2 linked regions of the Drosophila melanogaster genome follow. The protein of the gene in region 1 purifies or fractionates together with the protein of each later gene. This does not show direct contact. Each region holds a gene or a part of one and is shown on either strand. Other genes may lie near its edges. The genes, in order: dgo and Vang.

The links.
Region 2: the proteins of dgo (region 1) and Vang purify together in Drosophila melanogaster (affinity purification with western blotting; 2 studies listed by BioGRID). This does not show direct contact.

Annotation. Positions count from the first base shown.
Region 1 is NT_033778.4:10,815,446-10,821,641, forward strand, and holds dgo (diego), read right to left. Parts: upstream 4,440-6,196; 5' UTR 3,847-4,439; intron 3,659-3,846; 5' UTR 3,656-3,658; coding exon 3,596-3,655; intron 3,530-3,595; coding exon 3,104-3,529; intron 3,049-3,103; coding exon 751-3,048; 3' UTR 592-750; downstream 1-591. Other genes in the region: Prosbeta5 (proteasome beta5 subunit), read left to right, coding at 4,628-4,774, 4,837-5,538; Lsm10, read right to left, coding at 5,740-6,165.
Region 2 is NT_033778.4:9,101,450-9,107,372, reverse strand, and holds Vang (Van gogh), read right to left. Parts: upstream 4,136-5,923; 5' UTR 3,798-4,135; coding exon 3,557-3,797; intron 3,490-3,556; coding exon 1,985-3,489; coding exon of another isoform or gene 1,904-1,984; 3' UTR 577-1,903; downstream 1-576. Other genes in the region: CG8777 (uncharacterized protein), read right to left, coding at 4,254-4,416, 4,476-4,663, 4,723-4,897, 4,958-5,389, 5,448-5,923.

The sequences.
Region 1 (6,196 bases):
ATAAATTTAAGTAGCAGGCGCCGTTCAGCAGCAGTGTCATTTATAGAATTTTAAATTAACTACGAAGACATCGAGAAATCATCATTAGGCACTTGCTAAAATTGTACTAACAATACCGCAGACATATTGGTGAACGATATCAAAATGTTGCCCAATTTACTTGTTTACTTTTGTCAGCGGTGGGGATTTGGTTTTTTTGAATTCCCACCAAACATCGGAGCTCGATTATTGAGATGATTTCCTGGTTGATTTCGTTTACACAATTATACAGAGTTCATAAGCCGCATGTCTATCAAAACACCAAAATGATCTGTTATCAATAAATATATGTACTTGACATTCTGATATTTACACATGCATAAATACTATTATTAAACATTTTTAAAGAAAAATATATTTTGATCGAAAACATTCGGTTGCGTTTGATTTACAAGCGAGCAGGTTGGAACGTTTTTAATATTTTGGGTATTTTTGGGGTCAAAAGTGGAATAACCAAATAATTAAGTACACGATATTCTCATAAATTACGCAGAATATGAAAACACTCAGACCCAAAACTCCTCAACAAAAAACAACAAAATTATTGTACATATATCTTTGTATTATATTTATATATTTTAGACCCTCCAGATTAGATGCATCAGTTGAAAATAAGTTAACTTTTCTTTGTAGTTTAAAACTTGATTACAATTAAGATAAATATGTAGGGATTAGCTATGTACAATGGGAACAGCTGTGGGATTACCGAACTCAAACTAGACTCGAGACATTGTTGTAGAGGCCAACGGCAGACAGCTCGTCCAGATCGATTTCATTGGATGGAAGATTGGGATGAGGCCAGTTCCTTGGCCTTTGATTAACATGGGGCGGCACAATGGCCTGAAAGGTGGGGGACTGCAGAGGCCTATAGGCTACCGCATCCACGTAGTCCACTTGTCTTGGTGGAGCATTTGGATGTGGAATCCTTCCCACGTAAAGATCTTCACTGCGATAGAGACTCGCATTTGGTACGTAGCCGGAGTGCAGCCTTCTCTGCGGAGTTTGCGGAATCGGTGGACGGTGGGGCAGTTCATGGAAGTAAGCATCTTTGGGTATGTGTCTCTCGGGCAGCCCAAACTGGGCGCTACTCCGGTGGGGAATACTATACGTGGGCGAAGGGTTCGAAGAGGTGCCCTCCAAGTGATGGAAGTTATTGTTCAAGCGGGAGTGTGATCTTGCGGCGATCACATGTGCCGTCTGGGAGTCCTGTCGATTGGAGTCAATGGTGTTTTGCAGTTGGGCCACCATATCCCTCACCTGACCAGCGTTCGGCTTCTTTAGGCACTTGATTTCACTGTTCCGAATCTCCACCTTACTCATACTTTCATTGCCATTTTGACGCACTTCTGTTTCCTCGGCGTACTCCATGATGGGATTGGAGTAAAATAAATTCGACATGACGGGATAGTTGTCTTCCAAGCAAAGAGGCTGCCGTTTCATCAGATTGGAGATACCTGCCGCCTCGCTCGCTTGCTCCTTGTAGAGCAGCTTGTCGCCTCCCATTCCCTCGGCAGTTTCATTGACAGCCGTCTCCTCTTTGCCCAGATCCGCGAAGGAGGCATCTTTTCGAAGCGCCTTGATCACCGAGTTCAGCATGTTCTCTCCTCTCCCAATGCGCTGGTAGTACTTATTGTAATCCGGGTGGGGATTGCTGCCCGTGGGTGATGCCTCCCAGTCCCAGCTGTTGGAGTTCTGGGAGGGATTTGAGGTCTCACTGGAGTTCGGATAGCGTCGTATCACGTTGGCGTACTCGTCGAAATTGGGACTATTAACACTCTCTTTATCTTCTCGAAGTTGGGCAGACTCCGCCCTTGGATGGGGATTATAAGGTGGCGATAAGGAAGAAAGCTGGCGCTTGCTCTCCTGTTCGCTGTCCCTTTCCATGATCAGGGTGGTTTTCTCTAAAAGCACTCCCAGTCTTTCGGAGACTTTTAGGAAATCTAGCTTAAGTTCATCTAGCTTCGAGTGCTCCTCTGGTTCCGCCTCTTCTTGCACCTGGTCCTTGTCACCCACTTCTGCCTCTTCTTCATCCCGAGCTTCATTGGAATCGTCATCGCTGTCGCTATCCACCTGGACCTCCGCTGATCGGTGTACTATAGCCTCCACTGCCTGATCTTCCAGGACATCTACACTCCGTGAGTTGGTGAGCCTACCACCTTCGTGGTTGTTTTCCAAGAGCTCTAGACTGCGGCACCTGGACATTGTTCTTTCGATCCTTGAGCTCTTGTTCTGCTGATCGAAGGTGGACCGCATAGGTTCACCTCGTCGCAGGAACTCACTGAGGTGCTGCCTCTTGCTCTCGCATCGCAATCTGTCCTCGATCATCGTTCTTGTGAGCTGTTCAATCTGATCGTTCGTCTTGATTGCCAATGCCTGAACTTTGTGACCTAGACGTTCCTTGGTTTTGTGAACGTATTTCTTCAAACTCTTTCGATTGCAATTTAGTTTGTTTTCAATGTGACGGAAGAAGGGACCGCAATAGCATGTGTTGCCCACGCTGACCGGACCCTTGTGAATATGACCAGCCAAATCCAGGAAGTATTGCTCCCCCGACTTAAGTGGCTCCTTGGGCAGTGTCTCCAGTTTTGGTGAAGGAAAGGCACGCGGATCGGGAAAGTAGTGACAGCCATAGGGTGACCAGTTGATACCCTTGTCCACCACATCCCTTTCACGATCTCTGTCCTTGTCCGATCTGCTGCCGCCCTCCTTGGGTTTCTCCTTGCGATTCCGTATCTTCTTCGGCGTGTTCAGGATCTCGATGATTTCACGGTAGTTCTTCCTGATCGCTATGTGCATGGGGCAGTCGCCTTGTGCGTTTTTAATGCCCAGCCGAGCATCTGCCTCTAGGAGAATCCTTGTCAGCTTCCTGCGACCCATGGCACAGGTGATGTGCAAAGCGGTGTCGCCGTTCAGATTTGTTTTATTCGGATCGCAAAGGGCGGAGAGCAGGATCCGGGAGACTCCTGCATGTCCATATCTGCAGGCGGTGTGCAGCGGAGTATCTCCATACTGAAATTGTTAAACATGTTAAACATGGTTATCACTGATATGATCCAACACTTACATTATTCCGGACATCGGGATCGGCGCCGGCCAGCAGTAGCTCCCTAGAGCTCTGATTGTGACCATTTTGAGCGGCCAAGTGCAGGGCGGACAACCCTTCGTTGTTGGCAATACCCAGGGCGCTATTGTGTAGGGCTTCGATGGTCTGGTGGGCCACCTTCACTCTGCCCTTGTTCTTATCCTTGTCTTTGTCCTTCTGTCCCTTTGCTGCTTTTCCCACCCCCGAGGAAGCGGGTGGCGTGGGGGGCGTGCAGATCAATTTCACGCAGCGACTGAACCCCCGACTGGCGGCCTCATGGAGCGGGGTATTCCCCTGCACGGATTCCCTGGCCAGTCGATCAGCATTGCTGAACAGGAGACCCTCCACCCGGCGATCATCTCCGGCGGCTACCGCCTCGTGCAGCGAAGTCCAATTGCTGGAGTCGGGCTTAAATCAGAAAAAGAAGTTACATCGGTGTAAGATTTGTTGGTTCAGGCAAGTGCCCTTACTTACCCCGGATATCGCATTCGGGAGAGCTTCCTGTTTCGGAATGCGGGAGGATCCATGCTGCATTGTCTGCGAAAATATTCATTATTTATCAAATTTGTTAAATTATAATTTCATTCATTTATCATGATGTGTTGCAATTATAACTTTTTAAGTAACACTTTATCAAAACCAGATAAAATTAAAAAAATTATTTATATTAGAACTACATTTTGTCTTTAATAAATGAAAAATCTTACTTAAAGTACCGTAATTACCGTTAGAATCGTTTATATGTCGAAAATCATATGAAAGATGGTATTCTTTGATATAACCTTGTTGACGACGAAAGAGCTTAACTTGACCTGGGATCAAATGAATCTGATCTTCGATCGCACATTTTCTAGCCGTGTATGCGCATGTATGTGTGCCTCACGTAATGGCGTACCACGTAGTAATTGTCATTACAAATAGAAGTGGGAGTTACCAAAAGCGATCAAATAAAGGACTCGTAATTTGAAATACAACCTTTTTGAGGGTAGATTAAATGTCTTTCATTATAACACATTGATAAAACATGTATGGTTTCTTAAATGTTCAACACTATTACAGTAAATTTCTAGACCTGAAAACCAGGTTTAAAGTGCGCCTAGGTTTTCTCGATTCCCGACTTACTTTTCACTAATTTTAAATCCCGTCTTTGGACCGCAATTTACGCATTGCAATTCGCCACTCTCACGTATTTACACATGTTTACTTTCGACTATTGTTCAGTACCCGACTTTGCAGTATTTGGCCATTGATGGATTGATGGAACGCCCAGAGTTAATTTGGCTTCAAGCCAGGCCTAAAAAGAGACTAAAAGAAAGCCAATCACAGGCAAAATTGGCAACAGGTTTCGAGCTGGGTTGCCGTACCTGCGACAGCTAACGGTGAAGCCGATAGTCTGCATTATTGCTCCAACAGAAGTACGGTCACTCTACAAGTAGGCAACGAATTTTGTTTGTCATCGGCATTTCGCATTCAACGTTTCCAATTGTTTTTTAAGGAGCTTTAAGAATGGCTTTAGCTGAAATCTGCAAGATATCGAATGCTCCGTACATGCGGCCCAATGCCTGGTCATCGGCGGATGTGGAGGAAGAGCAAAAAGGGCTTATGTGCAATCTGGCCAATCCCTACACACTGGCTGCTCCGCCATTCGAGAACGTATGTAGTTAATTAGCTGATCTTCTTGGGAAATTTACTAAAAAATTTGACAATTTCCTCAGCCCCTGCACAACCTTAATCAGATCCAGGCCAATGGCGACAAGACCGGCGTCAAAATCAACTTCGATCACGGCACCACAACGTTGGGCTTCAAGTTCAAGGGCGGCGTTCTCCTGGCAGTCGATTCCCGTGCCACGGGTGGATCGTACATTGGCTCCCAGTCGATGAAGAAGATCGTGGAGATCAATCAGTTCATGCTGGGCACCTTGGCCGGTGGCGCAGCCGATTGCGTTTACTGGGACAGGGTCCTTTCGAAGGAATGCCGCCTTCACGAGCTTCGAAACAAGGAACGCATCTCGGTGGCCGCCGCCAGCAAGATAATGGCCAACATTGCCCACGAATACAAGGGAATGGGTCTGAGCATGGGCATGATGCTGGCCGGTTACGATAAGCGTGGTCCAGGCCTCTACTATGTGGACTCCGAGGGATCTCGCACGCCTGGCAATTTGTTCTCTGTTGGTAGTGGATCGCTGTACGCCTACGGTGTCCTGGACTCTGGCTATCATTGGGACCTGGAGGACAAGGAGGCCCAGGAGCTGGGACGTCGCGCCATCTACCATGCCACCTTCAGGGATGCCTACTCCGGTGGTATCATTCGCGTGTATCACATTAAGGAGGACGGCTGGGTAAACATCTCCAACACCGACTGCATGGAGCTGCACTACATGTACCAGGAGCAGTTGAAGCAGCAGGCCGCTAAGTAGAGTTTTGATTAAGGGAATATAAGATATTCAGTTTGTATACGTTTGAATTTCTTGGAATAAATAAACGTGCTAGAGACTATGTTTTGTGTATAATTGATTGGGCTAATTTGTTTTGCTTTTCATAGGTTTATTACTATAAATGTAGTTGTATGTATGTAATGTATTTTTGGTAAATATAACAAGTACGCATATATTAATAGTTTAGGTTTCCTTATTCTTTTTTTGCTGTGAGATCATTTGCAATGTTTCCTTGTGTCGCACTTCCGCTCGTTTTTGCTTGAATGTCCGCTTTCCGCCCTTGGTTTCCACTCGCTTTCTTCGCAGGACTCCCCGTTCCATTGCGCTTCGAAGTTCCTGCTCGGCATCCAAGTACGAAGGTATGTGGATCTGCCGTATCATTCGATTCCGCACCATAAAGTGATCAAAGGGGTGCTGACCACCATTGCGATCGATGAAAACTGCATGGGTGAGCTCGCAGGTCATGTGTCCATCCGCTACATCGATGATTCCGGCCACAGAGGTCTCGTTGTGCAGATCGATCAGTACGGAATGACCCTGCAGCATCACGGGCCAACAATTTAAGGTGTTGGACACCAAATACTTCTCCCGCGCACTAAACTGCTGCATTATATCGATATGTTTAAAAATAAGTGTTTGC
Region 2 (5,923 bases), 1.7 Mb from region 1:
GCTAGGCGACTGGGACGAAAGATCTAACACGTAGACCTGTCTAAAATTGAAAGTTCTATACCAACAGCACTGACGACGCACAAGCCAAAAAACAACAGCAGCGCAAGCTGTTGCCTATTATTGTTTAAAGGATATCTGATATGTTAGTATTCCACTCACATTTGGCTAGTATTTATGAAATAATGTAAATAAAAGCGAACGCACCATCCACCACCAGGCACCAAATCATGGGTTTCCTCAGTTTGATATTTAAGTAGCTTATGAAATGAGACCATCGTGCTCACTCCACTTGAATTAATTGAGCTTATTACTCTTATCATAGAAATTCGAGAGGCATTCGAGTCTTTGTATCACAAAGAACTTGAAACTTGATTGATTGCGATTAAATCTACTCATACATTATACTTCAGTGCGATTTGGTAAACCTGCTGGGCTCAATAATCAATATAGGAACTGTTTGTTAATCCCGAGCTGATAAGGCAACTTTCAGACATTCAAAAGACCCCCAAGAATGAATTAATTACGTGCGCATTTCCACGATTTGCGTCACCTTCGAGATAGAACAATTCGTTTAAAGCTGTTAAAGAAGTGGGTTTGATTTATTTACGCATTTTGTTTTTTATGCTAGTTACAATTACAACAGTTACAGTTTGAGAGTAAATGTATGTATAAATGGTATGTATGCTTAGGTTGGTTTTCCAATTGCTTTAAGTAATTGCTAGATAATTGCAATATAAAAGAGCTTCGACAGAAGACATTTAGCTAGAAAACGAAAATGAAATCAAACCTCAAGCAAACGTTTCTAAGTAGTTTTGTAAATAGGTATATATCATATATGTATGTATATATAGATTGGGTTCACTGGAACGTACACATGTTCGAATACGAATTCGGGTCCTTATCACTATAATTTTGTCTCTAAAAATACACGAGTTTTTGTATATATGTGGTTGCTATGCACAGGCTAGTACATACACCTGCTAGTGGCTGTTGGCAATTTGTGTGTATAAAATGCATATTCAGGCAGTCTTCGCTTATATTATGTATTTGTCATCAGTTGCATTCGAGTTATAGTTGTTTCGTCGTTTCTCAACTTTGTGGCAGAAGAGTTAGGACCATTCGGTTTCGGCTTAAAATGTGCGTATGTAAAATCTTATTAAGTCGCGTCAAAAGTGGCCAATGCACTTTCGACGCAAGTCCGAGTCCTAGCTAAAATTCCATGGGCTTGCCTTGGCTCACTCCATTCCTTCTTAAGGCTAGCGATCGGGCTCACGCCTCACAGATATCGGGTAAAATTTTAGATATTCCGCGAAGAGTAAGCCCAACTTTACACTAAACATATTTACTAAAATAAAAATCGTGTATAAAAGAGCTGCATTTAAGAGTTGATATCTGAAGATCGCGGTTCGGCAAGCCAAACCATCATTCTTATAATTAATACTTTGGGAACTTGTAAGTCATGTTTGCTTATCAAAGGGTGTGATATGTTCGCGTCGGTTTAGGATGATACACTGGGCTTTTGAGCATTGTTTCTTGATATTCGGGTCATAAGTTCAAGTTTAGCACTGATAAGTACGTTGCCTTCTCATCTAATAATCATTTGTTACAAGATCAAAATTTAGCTGCTGAGGCCTGCCTAGACATTTTGTTCTCACAACAACTTTTCCTTTCTAAACTTCCATGTTTTTTTCTTTTTTTTTTTAAATTCAGGGTTTTGATCGATTTAAAAATGCTCCTCTTGTTCATTGATAAGTAATTTTGATTGCTTGGTTTGATTGGTTGTGGTGTTTCAGGCATATATAAAAATGAATTCAATTACCCTGATGGCAGTTCTCACAAGAACGTCATCGATTTGGCTGAAGTAAAGAAAATATGTGAATATGTGAATTAGTAGCTGGGAAAATCAGACAAACACATGCAAGTAGGACGATTGCGTCTGGTTGCTATGAGTGGGAGTGTTGATTGGAGGGGCGTTGTGGTGGTGTCATACGGATGTTTCGGAGTTCAACTTAAGAACAAATTTGTTGCTTTTGGGATCCACAACCTCCTCGGCCAGGTTGAAGTGCGGCAGCTTGTGTACGGTTACCATTAGGGAGACATCGTTCTGAATTAACTGGAACGTGCATTCGTTGCCAATTGGCCGAGAGACGATCTCGTCGCAGATCAGGGACCAAGACTGCACCCAGCGTCGCTCCTTCTCGCTCTGCATCACCGGAGACTCGGTCAAGTAGGGTTCCAAGAAGGCGCGGGGCGACAGATCATGCTTTAGGCAGTGCGCCAGATGTTTCAGTATGCTCTCAAAGGTATGCCGCGGCTGCTGACGCGTAACCCGTAAGTATTTTTGCAGCGCCCTGGCCATCGAGGGAAAAACCGCCGAGGCAGCCTCCTGCGGATCGAGCGGCAGTGCCGGAGCCGGTTCGTTATGAATGCGTTTGATGTGGGTGAAGGCCTCCTCGGCGGCGGTTATAAGACGGGCACGCCGTTTCTTCACACGACGTTCGTACTCGTGCTCTTCGTAAAAGCGCTCGTTATGCGAGGAGTCTCGGCGCCGCGCGTTGGCTGCTAGAACTGCTCGACTCTGGCTTTGCTGTTGCGAATTGCTCACCCCATCCACTTCGTAGTACTTGAAACTGTTTGATATCTTGTTTCGCTGCGATTTGGAGACCGATATTGGGATGCGCTCCAGGTAAGGGTTAAATATGGGGAAATCCACGTAGTAGTGCTGTAGCACCCACACAGCCGCCCGTTGGATGCTCAGCTGACCCAACATGTAGGAGCGCGAAACGCCGTCCGGGGAGCGAATGATCTTGATGTAGTAGCAAGGCTGCTGGTGTCGCAGCTCTAGTAACACCACGGCCACATAGTGAATAAATAGAAGAGTGTCCACAAAATTGGTGGCATAGCCTACCAGTGACTTGTAGTCCACGGCATCGCCGCCCGTCTCCACAACGATTTTGGCCCCGTTTGTGACCTGCACGATGTAGAAGAGCCAGTAAGCAAACGTGCAGATGGTGACGAGAAGGAGGACGAGAGCGCGATATAGGAATATCCGTGGCATGGTGGCCGATGTACGTCGCATGAACACTGCCCACAGGCCGATGGCCAGAAGCAGCAGCCGGGCGGCCAGCGATACCAGTTGGCCCTTGCACTGCTCACTGCAGGCCAGCAGCTGGGTGCGAACAGTTTGCGTTATTTCCGGATGATCGAAGGCCGACGGAAAGAAGCCCACATACGGCATCACCACCATTGCCACTGGCGAAAAAAACGCTCCGCATCCCAGCAGGAAGTAGAAGCTCGACTCCACGTATCGGCGGCACGCAAAGCTGAAGCCCTTGTCGCTCTCACGATGCCACATGTTGTTTATGTCCTCCATTGAGATGCTTTGCTCCGAGGTATTCCCCGTGACGGCGGTAGTATTCTCGCCCCAGTTCTCGTCCTGCGGAAGGATTTGCACCTCGATGACTTCCTGGCCATCGTGGCTGCCGTCTCCTGGTGCCCAAATAATAAATGGGTCAATTGGTTTCCTTCCACCGATAGAGCCATTAAACAAACTCACCTGTCATATTAACGCTGGTCTGGTACGGTGCCATGTCGCCACGTTGAAATCCCTTGGCCGACTTCGAGGAGTGTGTGCTGCGGTGGGAATGTCTGGAGCGGTCCCGCTCCCTGTGATAGCCGTTGTTGACACTGCCTCCTCCGCCACCACCTCCGCCGCCACCCCCTCCGCCGTTGTTGTTGTGATTCCGCGAGCGTCTGGAGCGTCCACTGTGTTCCGACTTGACGGATTCGTTTTCCATTGCAATTGGGCTAGCGCGCGAGAGCTATGCCCGATTCCGAATCTCCTGCTCGCGAAGAGACGTGCCCCAAATCACCTTGCAACCTGGCCGTGCAGCTATTTTAGTGTCTAACTGTAATTGCGGCGGCAGCAGGTTTTTCATACGCAGGTATGCAGGGCGCAGTGCATAGCCTATAGGCGATTTAGAGCTTTATCTGCGGCTAATTCTGCGGCACATTGTCACTATTCGTGTCTTGCATGGCTATTTCATACGCTATTTAACTATTTCTCGCACATTTTTCGCTTTTTATTCACTTTTTCGTGGACTTGGCTTCACCCCCGACGCAGTGTGACCACCGCAACACAATCAGCAGCACGGTCACATTGCATTTAGTGTTTTCAAACACTATCAGTTTGGCAATTCAACCGCCAAACTGATAGTTTAAATTTTAAAGTAAGTTTATTTTGTTGGACAATATCATGAATTTGCAATAATAGCGGAAAGTAATTGTCTGGCTCTCTGGTCAGTTGGGCTTAGCAGTATGGCGCGCTGCAACAACTTCATAGAACAGGTTTTGTCTACTGCACTAACCGCCTGACTGGCATATATAGTGGTCAGTGCCTCTTCGCTGGCCAAGATGCTAAATATAAACAAATTCAGTCTATCATAATACAATGTATATAAATTCCCAAGTCTTACCTATTTTGTTGCTTAGTGTGTCCCAGAGTAAGAGTTATTCGACCCATATTTGAAGTAGCCAGTCGATAGGATTGGTCATCAGAGAAATAATCAAGAAGAAACTTTAGCACGACACTTCGCAGACTTCGGGAATTGGGAAACATTCGTATGCGAGTCTGTAGATAGCACAACGCTCTTCGGGCACCCTCCTAAACAAAATCATAGTATTACTTTTGTAGAACCACAACATTCACCACTTTTAACGAACATTTATCAGGATGTAGTGAGCCGTTAAATAGGATATGTCGGCACAATACTCCTTCTTAAAGGCGTACGCATTCAGCTCCGTCAGTATCGTATGGATCAACGCATTATCTCTATGAAGTATACCTAGGGCAAGGGCTGAAAACAACGCCTGAATGGGGACCTCCTTCAACAAGACACTTTTGGTGATTATAACGTTAGAAATGTTGAATCAACAAAACAAATATTGCGCTACCAACCACTGATAGAGTAGGGTTTTGGTGTCCGCTTCGCCCTGAAAGTCGTAAATCATGGATGCCATAGCCACGAGGATGGTAGCTGCTTTGTCATCGCCATGATCAACCACGTTGCCGAGAACGGAGTTGTAAATAGAGTAGGATTCCTGCAACTGACCGGCTAGATAATATGCCTGGGCCAGGCCAATGATCGGCTTAAATGTGGCATGTGCAACCGTGTTTAGGGCGTGTGCCGCCTGCTCCGGCTGGTCTATTTTTAAGTACAGGTATCCCAGATTCGTGTAGAGCTTGTCACGATCCGCTCCAGGTTCGCACAACTTACACGCCCGAGTGAAGGCTTCGATTGCTTGGCGATACAGGTTTTTCCGGGCGTAGAGAAATCCCTGGAACGACAGCGATGCTGGTGTCGCATCCGTCTCCTCGTTTTGCACATACCTTAAATGTATTGCAAGTCTTTAGTTGGTTTTAGATAGGGCATTACTATAATACTTACCAATTGATGGCATCCAGCGCAAGCACATCAGCGTACATGTGTTCGATGGCATGCTTTATGCGCGGCTTGTCGAAAGATCCAGGAGTCGACAGCATTTCGCACACCCAATGCGCAAATCCAAGCGCCGCCTCCGGATGGTAATCGAACTGCTGGCAGTGACGAAACAGATCAAAGGCTTCCTCGCGATCGCCAATCAACTCCGCAACCATTGCTTGTCCAATCCAAGCGTTGGCGTACACGGGACTTGATTGCTGGGCTCTCGTAAAGGCCTCGTTGGCCAATCGGACTTCATTCAGTTTAATATAGAGAACTCCGAGATTGGTCCACGCTGTGTAGCACTTTTTTTCCAGCACTACAGCCTGAATAAAACAGTGCTGTGCCAATGGCAAGTTCTCATTTTCGGAGTTCATATTGATAACTCCGAGAAGATTCCAATTTTGCCATCTGTTGCTACACTCCTTAATGGCCATTTTGCA